3 linked regions of the Saccharomyces cerevisiae S288C genome follow. The gene in region 2 interacts genetically with the main gene of each other region. Each region holds a gene or a part of one and is shown on either strand. Other genes may lie near its edges.

Region 1 (3,660 bases), on a different chromosome or scaffold from region 2:
ACAAGGTTAACGAAATGATATACAACGAAAAGAATAACAGCAAGTTACGAGAATTGTTTTTGGAGCTTTTTCAATTTTTTGCTCATACCTACAAGGATATGCAAGGATTTGAATCGGGCCCACCTATACATGATCCGGTAGCTTTGATGCCGCTTTTGGAATTTTATGGGTGGGATCCATCGTCTGCGGTTGGATTTCGCTACAAGAGAATGGACATATCCTGCATTGATGATGTTTTCAACGAAAACTCAGGGAAAATTATCATTGAAAAAGAATATCCAAATGACAGTGATGTTGGTACAATAATTGGTCTCGATTTGAATATCCAGTACTTTTGGGATCAGATTTTTGAAGCATTAAATAGAGCAGACAAAATGTCAACGATTGGATAAGAACTTCTATAAAAGGCTTTTTTTTTTTCTACTGACCTTTGGTCAGGTTCTGTTCCTTTCATTTTCACTGGATACAAAGAAGTTTCACTAAAAGTTGTCGCGATTGTATACATATATGCGTATATATACAATTCTACATGTTTTATATTTATTCCATTATATTCTCGTTAAATTTTAACTTTAAATTAAGAGGGCAAAGAGGCCCAGCGGGAGTTAATTTTTCTTCCCATTCAGGGTCAAGACTCCATCGAAACTGTTTCAACATTTCAGCCAAAGAAATTCTCATTTCTGTTAGGGCTAGTTTTTCCCCTAGGCATGCTCTTCGGCCTCCATGGAACCCAGTCACAGCACATCTGTTTTTCGCCATTCTCCAGTTTTTCCTTATGGTTTCGATATCTGAACCCCATCTTTCTGGTTTAAAATCATCTGCTGTTGTGCCCCAAGTTTTGGGATCGTGTGAGGTTCCAAAGTTGTTGTACCCGACATATACGCCCTTGGGTATAACAATTTCCGCCCCCAACTTGCACGTTTTGGTAGTACATCTATTAATAATTGTGCTCAAAGGAGGATACATTCTTACTACTTCGAAGAGAAAAGCATTTAATAAGGGTAAATCTGCTAAGCCTTTTGGATCAGTGATGCCGTTTACTTCCTTCCTGAGTTTCTCTTGCCATTCATTTGAATATTTGGCTAGAAGGTAGAGTGAACTATTAAATAGCAACTGCGGGTTTTCATGGCCAGCGACAAGGATAATGACGATATTATCGGTCAACTGTTTGTAGTCGATTATTTCGTTATTGTGAGCACGAATTAGATCACTGGCAGCAAAAGTAGTTTGTTCAAATTTGTAATTATTGACTAATTCATCTTGAACTCTTTTAACGAGAAGTTCTCTAAAACTAACAACATCCTTGAAGGCTTTTTTTCTTGAAGGAATAGGAAGAACATCAAGGAATGGAAAAGTTAAAAAGAATGGATGAAATATTTGCTTTTTAATACGAATCAAATGCTCGTGGAAAGCATTTTTTTCATGTGTTAGAGCACCAAAATCAAATCCAAGGGCAACCTGTGAAATGTTATCCAATGCCATTCTCTGGGATAAAGGTCCCATAGGGATCGAAGTTTGTCCTTCTAGGAGTCTGTTTTTTATCAAAGTGCATAAAATTTTTGCATTTTTGAATATAGGTGCATCGTCAAAATGTTGGAGCCCGTTTGTCACAGCATTTCTGTAGTTTCTCCAAACTGCACCATACGCGCTAATGACATTGTCCCCTGTGTAAGCGGCAAGAGCACTGTATGGGATTTTCTTTTGATTACCGCTCTTCGCAAAAGTATCTTCATCTTTGAATATTTGTGCTAGATACTCAGAACGAGAAACGAGAATATTCCACCGTGAACCAAAGAAAAATTTTACAGCACCGTATTTTTCCATTGATTCCCTAATATAAAGATCGTATAGCTCCGTTTGATCAATGGGAAATATTACTGGTAAAAATACTACATAAAATGGGATGGTGGGTATATTTTTGGGAAAGTTTAGAGGTGGGACAATGATTGCAAAGGCGACATAGGAAAGAGTAAGAAATAAAATCAAACACAGAAGCTTTAACAACTCCATTTTTAATGCTTTTTTCGATTTATTCTCTTAGTCTGAATCAAATACCATTTTGAAAAAACGAAAATATTTCAAGAAAATTAATGTATTTTTTTGCACTACCTAATATACTATTCGCATCAGGATGACCAGTCATTCCTCTTGTGGTCCGTGGCTTGTAATTTTCGGGAAAGATAGAAATCACTGCATTCATCGAAAGAAGTGAAAATAAATTGTATCGGGGAAGTAATGAGGGGTGGAATACGTAATTGCTTCTCAATTTGATAATACAAGTTACAGTCTTTTTATTGAGAGTCCCTGGAAGGAAAATTATTGATGTTTACCTTTTTTTGCGACGCGCGTCTGGCCATAAATAAAAGGGTTCTCTTGCCAAGAAAAAATAAAAAGGCGCCTTAAGGGACCTTCTATGACAAATATGGTGAGGTATGCAACCTCAATGAAGAGCAATGAGAAAATTTAAGGGGTAAGTAAGCATCGGAATTTGTTGTTTCCTAACAATTTGTCTAATTTACTCAATAATATCAGGAGAATTGATCGAAAAAAGCAAACCAGGAACCCCTCACAAATAAGGGAACATAAAGTAATTGCTCGTCTTTACATACATGGCACTCAATCCCAGACGTCGCGTGCTAAAAATCCTTATATTATTGGCCCCTCAGGAGTTTATTTGAATTTTGATTGCATTGCTTTCAGTGGACAGTATATCATAAAATTTGCAAGGGCATAGTGCCTGCCCTACGATGTTGTAAAACAATTTCTGAAAATAGGTTCAGAATCAAAAATGATGTATAAATATTGAAATAAATTTTCACATAAATTGTGCTCCTCCGCAAAGTCTTGACTAAATAAACAATTTGTTAATATCCTAATTCGGTAAAGCTTTGTCGAGACATTAACAAAAATGACATTTACTAGCAACTTGCCCTCAAGCTCCGAGCAGTCAATATCACCACCTGCCTCTTCATTTTCTTCATCGACTGATACGTTGAAAGATATTGATATTCCCCATAATGGGGCCGATTTGTCTACATATAGTAAATTTCTGGCCCTGTATTGCAGAAGCGACAAATGTGACGATTTTTACTCTTTAGAGGAAAAACAGAATTGTAAATTTGGAGACCAATGGCTCGACTTTATCAACACTATTCACAATCTGGACTTTTCTGAATCCGAAGTAAGTGGACGGGTTTCTGAAAGAATTTTGCCAGCTTCTTTAGCAAATAAATTTACCAATAATTTAGGAGTGGCAATAAAGATTTCTGAATATACACGCGATGACGAACGCCAGATTCGTGGGTGTGTTACAACAGTTGAGAATGAAAATTCTTTCAATAACTGGTTCGTATATCATATTTTAGACCAATCTCAATTATCTCTAAGTGAACATCCAATTGTAACCAAAGAAGTTAAGTATCACGAATTATTTGCAGATTTTTTTGAGAAAAATTTGAAAAACACAATAGTTAATGATCAATGGAATTTTGGTGGCCGTGATTATTTTATTGAACGTTCAAGATATTTTACCGATCGATATTTGAGAATTGAATGCATCTTGCCAGCGTTTCCATGTAAGTCATCTAATGAGCAAAAAGTGTACGGTTCCGTTCCTGACAAAGGCGAAGAACTCGCTTTGAAAAGATTAATAAAAGCCAC
Region 2 (5,136 bases):
AAAATTCTTATTTTTGCAAGTGCGCAAATCGAATAATACGAAAAGATGAAAATATTTTAGTTTATATACATGTTTGATGCCATACCATCTATTGACATAATCTACGATGTGAGAGCTGTATGATATTGTGGAACTTTGTATATATTGAAAAAATTTTCCAGTGGAATTTTACTCGCGATGACTCAAGAGCGTGAAAAAAAAAAAAAAAAAAAAATTAATTGCTAAAAAATCAAATATATGCTTCCAATCGGATTTGAACCGATGATCTCCACATTACTAGTGTGGCGCCTTACCAACTTGGCCATAGAAGCTTCTATTTTATATTTGCCTGACCTATTTTAACGGTTATATTCCACAAACATTTTAATCATGAAGCAATTTTTTTGATGTTGATGTGAGAGTAATAAGCACTGTGCTGAGAAGAGGATCAACAACATGATATTCTACGGAACGTAAAGGATACAATGTTATTGGACTAAGAATCGTCTATCATCTTAAGAAATGGGTGGATGATCGGACAATTATTGAGAAGGTTTCATTGTGGAGAACAAATCGCAATATTGTGCAATCCTTTAGATATGTCAAGATAAAATACTAGGGAGGCTTCGCCCATTCATTAAAGAGTATAGCTACCGCATACTGTTTAGTAGTATACTATCACATGTGGTGTAAAAAGATAACATAAAGATTGAGAATCAGTCATCAAATGTAATGGAAGCTGAAAATGCAAGGATTGATAGTGTAATAGGAACGAAACATATGAAAACGGAATGAGGAATAGTCGTATTATTAGTATGTATAGATTCCATTTGAGAATTCTTATATCCTCGAGGGGAACTTCTAGTATATTCTGTATACATAATATTGTAGCCTCTATCAACAACGGAATCCCAACAATTATCTCAAAACTCACTTATATCTCACAAAACACTCAATAGCGACCCTTAAATGTTACTGAACCTCATATTGTTTCGCTCTGCTCCCTTATATATTGTTAATGCAATCGGGACAGCTCACTGACTGAACGGTGAATAGTGGCTCCCGGAAAGCTGAGAGTTGTGAACTCGCCACCTCTGTTAAGTAAGTCGTAAGCTGTTAAAGCTGCGTCACGAGTAATGAGCTGCCAGTTCGGCCTCTGATCGCTGTACTTTATGGTAAAAAGATAGTTCCTAGTAGAAGACGAGTCATACTCGTAAACAAGCACCGCTGGATACTCTTCTCTATCAAGACGTAAAGCGTACTTGTAATCTCTAAGTTCGCCAATCCAAATTTCTGATATGCCACTCATTATCCTCACCCCACATGCTGACACCTTATACATTCAATATCTCCCTTCTCCTACTTAACCTTATGTTACCCTTTTTTTTTGGCTTGCATTTATATTTGGTTTACATAGCAACAACCGATAGCGGGTAACAGCATTAAGCTTCCCATCTCCCGTTCACTGTTATTACCTTTGGCACGTAAAGGGCCGGCTAATAATGTCGTATTTCCACTGATTTGGATGTATGTTGCATGGTGCTAGATTGTGAATAAATCATTTCCACTGGTTTCTAGCAGAGGTAAGAAAATCAGTAGTAGCGGCAGCAGCCAAGAAAAATGGCAGCCTGGCAAGCAGCGAAGGCCATCTGTGCTGCATTTCCACACTCCTTGTATGACTGCATACGCATAAAGAGGTGCCTTGCTGTAGGCGTATATGATCCTAAGCAACAGAGAAACCACGGTTCTCTTCTCTTCTTATTTCGTTATTGTCTTCCCTTTTTACTATGGGTAAAGTCGCCCTAAAGCGGGGCGCTCACAATATCGCCGCAGCTACAGCCGTTTTTTTTTTTTTTGTTTTTTTTTGCGCTGCTTCTCGAAGAATGAATGGCTCACTGAAAAATTTTGATTCATCGATATAAAGAACACTGTTCACTTCGATGTCATCCGGCCAATAAAGTTGTTTTTAGGATAAACGAGTAAGTGGTAGCTGGTACAGGATCATGAGATTTTCACACTTCTTGAAGTACAATGCTGTCCCAGAATGGCAAAACCATTATATGGACTACAGCGAGCTGAAAAATCTTATTTACACGCTACAAACAGATGAACTTCAGGTTGGTGATAACGAAGAAGGATTTGGCGCAGGAAAGAGCTCTAACATTACAGATAGGTTCAAAAACAAGTTTTCTTTTAAAAATGCGAAGGAAGATACGTCTTCCGGTATGAACAAAGATGCAGGCATCGTTGAGGAAACCATCGAGTTGCGAGAGTTGCCTACTGCTCAGACGGTCGCTGCCAAACCTTCTCCTTTCAGAAGAATGAAGGAAAAGATATTTTACAAAAGAAGGTCGTCTTCCGCATCGTCCGTCTCCTCCACGGCCAACGAAAATCTGCAATTAGACACTTATGATACGTTTGTTGGTGATTTAACAGCTGAAAAACAGAAAGTAGATGATTTTTATAAGAGGACAGAAGCGAAGTTCTACGACAAATTTGACGCGCTGGTGAAGGACCTGAAGAAAATCGGAGTTATAGAATACGATATCGACGATGATACTCTGTTTAACGAACCGATTGCCAGCACAAATGACGAAGTTCCCCCACTAGACTTGGATGATGACGAAGACGACGACGAATTTTACGATGATCAATCTAATATTGAAGATAATACTGCTTTGCTGCATCATTCGCAGTATAACATTAAGTCTCAGAAAAAATCGCTGTTGAAGAAGTCGATCGTAAACCTATATATCGATCTTTGCCAGTTGAAGTCGTTCATCGAATTGAACCGCATTGGGTTTGCAAAAATTACAAAGAAATCAGACAAAGTTCTTCACTTGAATACAAGAACCGAACTGATCGAATCGGAGCAGTTTTTCAAAGACACATATGCATTCCAGGCAGAAACGATCGAATTGCTAAATTCCAAAATTTCCCAGCTAGTCACATTTTATGCGCGCATCACTGACCGGCCTCATAATATCTCGCATAGCAAGCAAGAGTTGAAATCCTACCTGCATGACCACATTGTTTGGGAAAGAAGTAACACTTGGAAAGACATGTTGGGACTGCTATCGCAAGCTGACGAGTTGACACCAAAGGAAACAGAATATAATGCAAATAAGCTGGTAGGCAAGTTAGATTTGGAATACTACAGATGGCCACTACCCAGACCGATAAACTTAAAATTCACTAGTATAAACAACGTTGCACTACCGAAATTATTTTTCACCAAGAAAGCATACAAGATTTACTTTATTATTCTAGTCACTGGACTCTTGTTAGGAATAAAGACCTTCAACGACGCTGCTCAGCACCGCTGCATGGCCCTTGTCGAGTGTGTCGCCTTTTTGTGGGCTAGTGAGGCCATCCCATTACACATTACAGCATTCCTTGTACCACTACTTGTAGTCCTTTTCAAAGTCCTAAAAACCTCCGACGGGGCTATAATGAGTGCTGCAAGCGCTTCATCAGAAATTTTGGCCGCCATGTGGTCTTCTACAATTATGATTCTGCTGGCAGGTTTTACTTTGGGTGAAGTACTTGCACAATATAACATCGCCAAAGTTCTTGCCTCGTGGTTGTTGGCCTTCGCTGGTTGTAAACCCAGAAACGTTCTTTTAATGGCAATGTGTGTCGTGTTCTTCCTATCAATGTGGATTTCCAATGTCGCAGCACCTGTTCTAACATATTCGTTGTTATCTCCCCTATTGGATGCCATGGATGCAGATAGCCCATTTGCGCAAGCATTGGTGTTAGGTGTAGCGTTGGCTGCAAATATCGGTGGTATGTCTTCACCAATCTCTTCACCTCAAAACATCATTTCCATGTCGTACTTGAAACCCTATGGTATTGGCTGGGGCCAATTCTTTGCTGTTGCATTGCCATCTGGTATCCTGGCCATGCTTTTGGTTTGGATTTTATTGTTCACTACTTTCAAGATGAATAAGACCAAATTGGAAAAATTTAAGCCTATTAAGACGAAATTCACAGTTAAGCAGTATTATATCATTACTGTCACTGTGGCCACTATTTTGTTGTGGTGTGTGGAAAGCCAGATTGAAGGTGCTTTTGGGTCATCAGGTCAAATTGCAATCATTCCCATCGTTTTGTTTTTTGGTACCGGATTACTATCAACACAAGATTTAAATGCCTTTCCGTGGTCAATCGTTATTTTGGCAATGGGAGGTATTGCTTTGGGGAAGGCCGTCTCATCCTCGGGTTTGCTATCAACCATTGCAAAAGCATTACAAAAGAAAATTGAGAATGATGGTGTTTTTGCCATTCTATGTATTTTCGGTATCCTGATGTTGGTTGTGGGTACTTTCGTCTCGCATACAGTATCCGCTATTATCATCATTCCCTTGGTGCAAGAAGTTGGTGACAAGCTTGGCAACCCCAAAGCTGCTCCTATCCTTGTTTTCGGTTGTGCATTATTGTCATCCTGTGGTATGGGACTAGCTTCTTCGGGGTTCCCCAATGTCACTGCCATCTCTAAAGTAGATAGAAAGGGCGATCGCTATTTAAGTGTCATGACTTTCTTAACGAGAGGTGTTCCAGCTTCTATTTTGGCTTTCCTATGTGTCATTACTCTAGGTTATGGTATCATGGCATCTGTTGTCAAGGGTAACGCAACCTCTGCGTAAGAGATACGTCTACGATAGCATGTAACAGCGTATATATAATCTATATGTATTCGATTAATCCAACACTTCTGTTGTGTAGTCTAATGTTCGAAAAAAAGGTACGCTTCCCTGTTATAATCAGGTATATTTCGTTATTCTTATAAGCTAAAAGATTAAAAATTTTTCCACTTTCCTTGAAATTTGGTCGGTTCGTGGAAAAATATTATTACGTATTGAAGAAGTGCATGAAGATAAAAGATGGGATTACTGGAAAAATAAAGGGAGGAAAATCCTGCAGAACGTTGTTGTTTCAATCGAAGGTTTCTTCATTCGAAAATGGGTTCTTCAGATGTTTCAAGTCGTGAATGTTCATTGGTTTATAATGAAGATCCCGATTTCACCGATGGCACAACACCATGTGATCGGTTGGGAGTGGACTTGATGAATGTTCTAGATGACAAGGATGAAATAAAGCAAGAGTCTGTCCCAGTCTCAGATCGTGAAATTGAGGATACGGAATCCGATGCTT
Region 3 (5,385 bases), on a different chromosome or scaffold from region 2:
ATAATACGTGCAATGTGCTTGTATGTAAATAAGTGTGCATTATATGTTTATTAAAAATTAAGAATTAGATTGATTTAATGTTTCGAAAAAAAAAATATTTAGTCATTTCACCATGTTGGATGGGAATTCGTGTGTTGTTATTGGAATGATTCTTCCTTTTTGGAGAGGAAAATAGTCAAAAGAACACGAAATAATATGAAAAAAATTTTCCATATGAATTTGCATCCAATCAAGCAAAAGATCGGCCTACTTCTGATATGTGGATATGTTTGTTTGTGTGTGTGTGTGTGTGTGTGTGTGATAAAATTGACAGATATGATGCCACTTAGTCTAAAAACTTGTGTGTAAACTTTAAAACTGTAACATCATATCGAAGGTATCAAACAGAGCACAATTGAAGAGGCATTAATTTGATTTTTGTTGACCGTGTTCTTTTATAACGTCTTGGCTTCCTTGGTATCGACAAATTGAAATGAAAATGAGGAATAACAAAAAGGAGATCAATAAGAAAAAAAATCAGATGGATGATGTTTAAAATTACTAACTGCTTTTTTCGTGTTGAGTAGAAACTCTTTGCATAGCAGCCATGAAATCTTCGACACTTCTTGTAGACTTCTTTTCCTTTAATGACTTACCATTCATCAACCTATCAAAGGCTTGAGACGTGGACATAATATAGTAAAATCCTCCCAATACACAAAAAATACCAATGGACCAAATCCAGACACGAACGACTGACACAATATCAGTCCAGTTTTCAGACCACCAGCCAAATAAGGTAAACATGGTAGCAATAATATCAACGGCGAAAACGGCACCGGCTAACTGCCACGATGGAATGGAAGACCAGAATGGGCCAGCAGCTCTAGTGACAAAAATTAACCAATTTTCAGTTAGTGAAATCTGCAGGAACATGACACCATTCATGGCACCAAAATTTTGGATAATACCACCATTAGGCAAGAACATGGTGGTTAAAGTAATCCAAGAACCTATAGCTAAAACTATGCCCAAAATAATAGACATACCCCATAATCTTGGTAGGTTCCATTTCACAGGTTCAGGAGCATAAGGAGCATTGTCATAAGCAATAGTTAAAGTGGCAACGTCTGCGAAAATAGCAATAAAAACGATCAAATTGATATCCAAAGAGTTGTTTAAAATAGCAATCCATAAACCCAGGAAAATCTCCAAATGTAAGGATAGGGCAATACGATAAACAACATAGGAGTACATTCTGTGGAAAATCTGTCTAGAAGTCTTTAAGGCATCAATAATAGCAGAGAGACCAGGGGCCAAGAAAACAATATCAGCGGCTGATCTGGCAGCATCGGTAGCACCTTCGACAGCAATACCAGTATCAGCCTTCTTCAAAGATGGGGCATCGTTAACACCATCACCAGTCATAGCAACCAAGTAACCTCTGTTTTGCAAGATTTCAACGACTCTGTATTTATGCTGTGGGAAAACTTCTGCGAAACCATCGGCATTTTCAACAAAATCAGCCAACTCTGAACCAGGCATATCACCTCCACCTCCCAGACCTAACCTTTCTGCGTTATAAATGTTTGTACCAAGTCCTAATTGCCTACACGTTTCTTTCGCGATACCAACAGCGTCACCGGTTAACATCTTGATTCTCAAACCAAGGTTTCTGGCCTCATTGATTGTTTGAGCGGTGTCATCTCTAGGGGGGTCCATACATGGCATAACACCCAAGATTTCCCAGTGACCTTCCCCTCTCTTTCTAGCAACACCTAAAGCACGGAAACCTCTAGAAGCTAGTTCAGCAACCTTATTTTCGTAGTTTTCATGCACATCTTCCGGAATTGGGTGATCTTCTTCAACAGTCTTCAAGACAAACAATGGGGCTCCCTTGACACAAACAATTCTTTCACCTTCTGGGGATTCTACAACAGCGGTAACCTTTTTTGAGACAGGGTCGAACGGATGGAATTCCAAAACTTTGTACTTGGTCAGGGCGTCTTTAGCTTTTGGATACTCAATCAATGACTTCAAAAAAGCCTTATCAATAGCATCCAAACCTTTCTTCTTTCTAGAGGCAGCTAAACAAGCGGTCAACATCAAGTCGTCCGGAGAAACGCCTTCGACAGTGTAGGGTTCGTGTAAAGATAACTTGTTTTTGGTTAAAGTACCAGTCTTGTCAGAACATAAAATCTCAACACCAGCAAGGGATTCAATAGCAGATAACTTTTGAACAATGGCTTGCTTCTTAGCCAAGTAAGCTGCACCGACAGCCATGGTCGTGGTAACAACTGCTGGCAAACCGACTGGGACACCAATGATGGTTATACCCAAAGTATATCTCAAAATGCTTACAATACCGACCGTTCTATAGAAACATGCGGTCCAGACCAACAACAAAGTAGCGATAACTAGAACAAGTAAGATAATACCAATTCCATTCAATACTTCAGTGAAATGGCCCTCTACACCGGAAGCCTGCCCCACTAAGGCGGCAGCCCTACCGACGAAGGTATTGTCACCAGTGGCAGTAACAACCATAAAAGCCTCGCCGGTTTTCACAGTGGATGAGGAGAACACCTCATCACCGTAATGCTTTTCAGCGGCTAAGGATTCACCAGTGATGGCCGATTGATCGATCTGCAAAAAACAGTCTTCAGTGACAATACGACCATCTGCGGGAGCAATTGTGCCACTTTCCAATTGCAAAATCTCACCAGGAACTACCTCATTAGCCGGAATTTCGATCAATTGGCCATCTCTAATAACTGTTGCAGTATTGGCCAACGTCTTTTTCAGCTCGTCTACGATGGAACCTGCCTGGAATTCTTGAATAAATCCGACAGATGCGTTTAATAGCAGTAAAGCACAGATGACACCGACATCAACCCAATCAGACAAACCGGCAGCCAAAATAGCAGCAGCCTCCATAACGAATTGAATAGGCCCTACGAAGAACATCAAAAACTTCACAATCAACGATTCATTCTCCTCAGCCATTTGATTTAACCCATATTTCTTTCTTCTCCTGGCGACTTCATCCGAAGTCAAACCATACGCAGGGTCCGTAGAAAGGTCCTTTTCAGGAACAACCCTTTGGCCAGCGTGCACCCCATCAGTACGTACTTCTTCTTCACCAGATTCATCACCCTCACCGTAGTTAGATTGTAGTTCATCAATCAATTGGTCTATATCTTCATCTGAGTCAGAATCATCAGCGGCAGAAGCGGCTGCGGCCTTCCGTGGAACGGCTGCAGCCGATGACGAGGCGGAAGTTGATGTAGAAGACGAAGATGACGAAGAAGCGGCAGAATTATTTGCAGGGTCATCGCCATCACTGGCATGGAGGTACTCTTTCGAGGGTTTCTCCTTGTATTGCTTTGCTTCAGTGGAAGACATAACGCAAAACAGTTTCCTTTTGCTTAAATTGTACTAGCACACAGCAACGAAAAATGAAAAAAAAAAAGTTATGGGTATGTTTAAAAAAGCCCAGTAGCTTGGATACAGTAGGTTATCCAGCAAGAAATGCTGGAAGAAATAATAGATGGTAAAAGAGGATATTACACACCTTTATATAACGAAGTACCATCACACCGCCAATTACGTTTAGGGGACGCCGACAAGAAGTAAATTCACTATTATGTACTTACAAATATGTTTCCACCGATAACCTTTCCCCCTTCGACGGTTATTTGAGCAGCGTCTGTCCGCCATTTTTCCAGAGAAGCTACTTCATCAATCAATTGACTTCGCAATTCCCTTAAACAAAAAAAATTTCTTTTGCCCTCCCTCGACGATTTTGGAGTAGAGAATACCTTAGGCCTTTTTTTTTCTTTTTTCTCACGGCTGCTCTTCCTCTTTTTCGCATATTCTATTTTATCATCGACTTCCCTAATTCGCACTCGTACCAAAATGTTAAGCAGTATGGCGAAGAACGTGGCGCGCTGGAGTCGTGAATGTTTGGGTCCTTGATGATGGACTACGGTAGTAAGTATGTAGTAGTTGCAACTTCATATGTTCACTTCTGATCCAAGGAAGAGCGGTTATGAATTAATCTCTTGGCATGAGCGGACGGGTAAGGGGACACCGCCTTTTCTTCGATGGGAATCAGGGTAATGGTATATGATGGATTATTGTGGAATCATTTAGTACGGCAGATGTTGAAAAAAAAAGCAGAAAATTTTTGAATTTTTTTCGTTGACATTGGAAGATTTCGTAGTGGAAACAGCTGCAATTGCTTGTTAAGTAGTAACCCCTCCTTTGTCACAAGAGAGCGAATATTCTTTCTAGGGAGGTTTAAGAATAGAACATCTCACACCAGACGCGACTCATAATTCATAATGCCAATTGACCAAGAAAAATTAGCTAAGCTACAAAAGTTGTCTGCTAACAACAAAGTTGGTGGTACTAGAAGAAAGCTTAACAAGAAGGCAGGCTCTTCTGCCGGTGCCAACAAGGATGACACCAAGTTGCAAAGTCAATTAGCTAAGTTGCACGCTGTCACCATTGACAACGTCGCCGAAGCCAACTTTTTCAAGGACGACGGTAAGGTCATGCACTTCAACAAGGTCGGTGTCCAAGTTGCTGCTCAACACAACACTTCTGTATTCTACGGTCTACCACAGGAAAAGAACTTGCAAGATTTGTTCCCAGGTATTATCTCTCAATTGGGCCCTGAAGCCATCCAAGCCTTGTCTCAATTGGCTGCCCAAATGGAAAAGCACGAAGCCAAGGCTCCAGCTGATGCTGAAAAGAAGGATGAAGCTATTCCAGAGTTAGTTGAAGGTCAAACTTTTGATGCTGACGTCGAATAAATAACTTAATCTTTAATTTTAACGTTAAATAAAAAAACACATATTTTGTTCCATTTTTTTTCATTTTTTTTAGCATATCTAAAGCATATAATACAAACACTGTTTTCTGCAAAAAAAAAAAAATAAAAAATAAAATATAAAAAAACAATATACCACACTATGCTGCACACGTGAAATGATGAACTTGTACGTCACCACTTTGTGCGCAAAAAATTGGCAAAAGTAGAGAACATGTCACTAACTGTATCGGAATATTACAACGTTTTTTTATTCTACTTATCTCAATGGCTAAAGTATATATCTATCTATATATGTATGTGTAGGTGTGCTGATGGAGACAAATACGTTTTCCTCTAGCCTTACAACAGGCCGGTACCATTCTTTATCGCATCCTTGATGAGCTCATCTACATCAACGTCTGAACCTTCACTTAGTTTCTTTCTGTTTCTTTGACAGGTCAGTGTGTTAGAATGTCTTTTTAGAGCATCCTTCCTGGCAAACCCTTTGCCACAGTTTGAGCAAATATGCGGCAGCACGAGTGAGTGTACCTTTTCATGTCTTCTCAGATCAGAACTTCTGCTGAATT

What was found. A genetic interaction does not mean that the proteins touch.
Region 1: mutations in PHO90 (region 2) and DIT2 together harm fitness more than expected from each alone (negative genetic interaction), as found in Saccharomyces cerevisiae (2 studies listed by BioGRID).
Region 3: mutations in PHO90 (region 2) and PMA2 together harm fitness more than expected from each alone (negative genetic interaction), as found in Saccharomyces cerevisiae (2 studies listed by BioGRID).

Annotation. Positions count from the first base shown.
Region 1 is NC_001136.10:1,271,694-1,275,353, forward strand, and holds DIT2 (putative cytochrome P450), read right to left. Parts: upstream 2,011-3,660; coding exon 541-2,010; downstream 1-540. Other genes in the region: URH1 (trifunctional uridine nucleosidase/nicotinamide riboside hydrolase/nicotinic acid riboside hydrolase), read left to right, coding at 1-392; DIT1 (Dit1p), read left to right, coding at 2,909-3,660. UniProt on the Saccharomyces cerevisiae protein: Involved in spore wall maturation. Thought to catalyze the oxidation of tyrosine residues in the formation of LL-dityrosine a precursor of the spore wall.
Region 2 is NC_001142.9:58,862-63,997, forward strand, and holds PHO90 (SPX domain-containing inorganic phosphate transporter), read left to right. Parts: upstream 1-1,982; coding exon 1,983-4,628; downstream 4,629-5,136. Other genes in the region: MBB1 (Mbb1p), read right to left, coding at 995-1,321; putative ubiquitin-specific protease UBP12, read left to right, coding at 4,944-5,136. UniProt on the Saccharomyces cerevisiae protein: Low-affinity phosphate transporter involved in the control of cellular phosphate levels.
Region 3 is NC_001148.4:480,842-486,226, reverse strand, and holds PMA2 (H(+)-exporting P2-type ATPase PMA2), read right to left. Parts: upstream 3,385-5,385; coding exon 541-3,384; downstream 1-540. Other genes in the region: EGD1 (Egd1p), read left to right, coding at 4,326-4,799; MET31 (Met31p), read right to left, coding at 5,159-5,385. UniProt on the Saccharomyces cerevisiae protein: The plasma membrane ATPase of plants and fungi is a hydrogen ion pump. The proton gradient it generates drives the active transport of nutrients by H(+)-symport. The resulting external acidification and/or internal alkinization may mediate growth responses.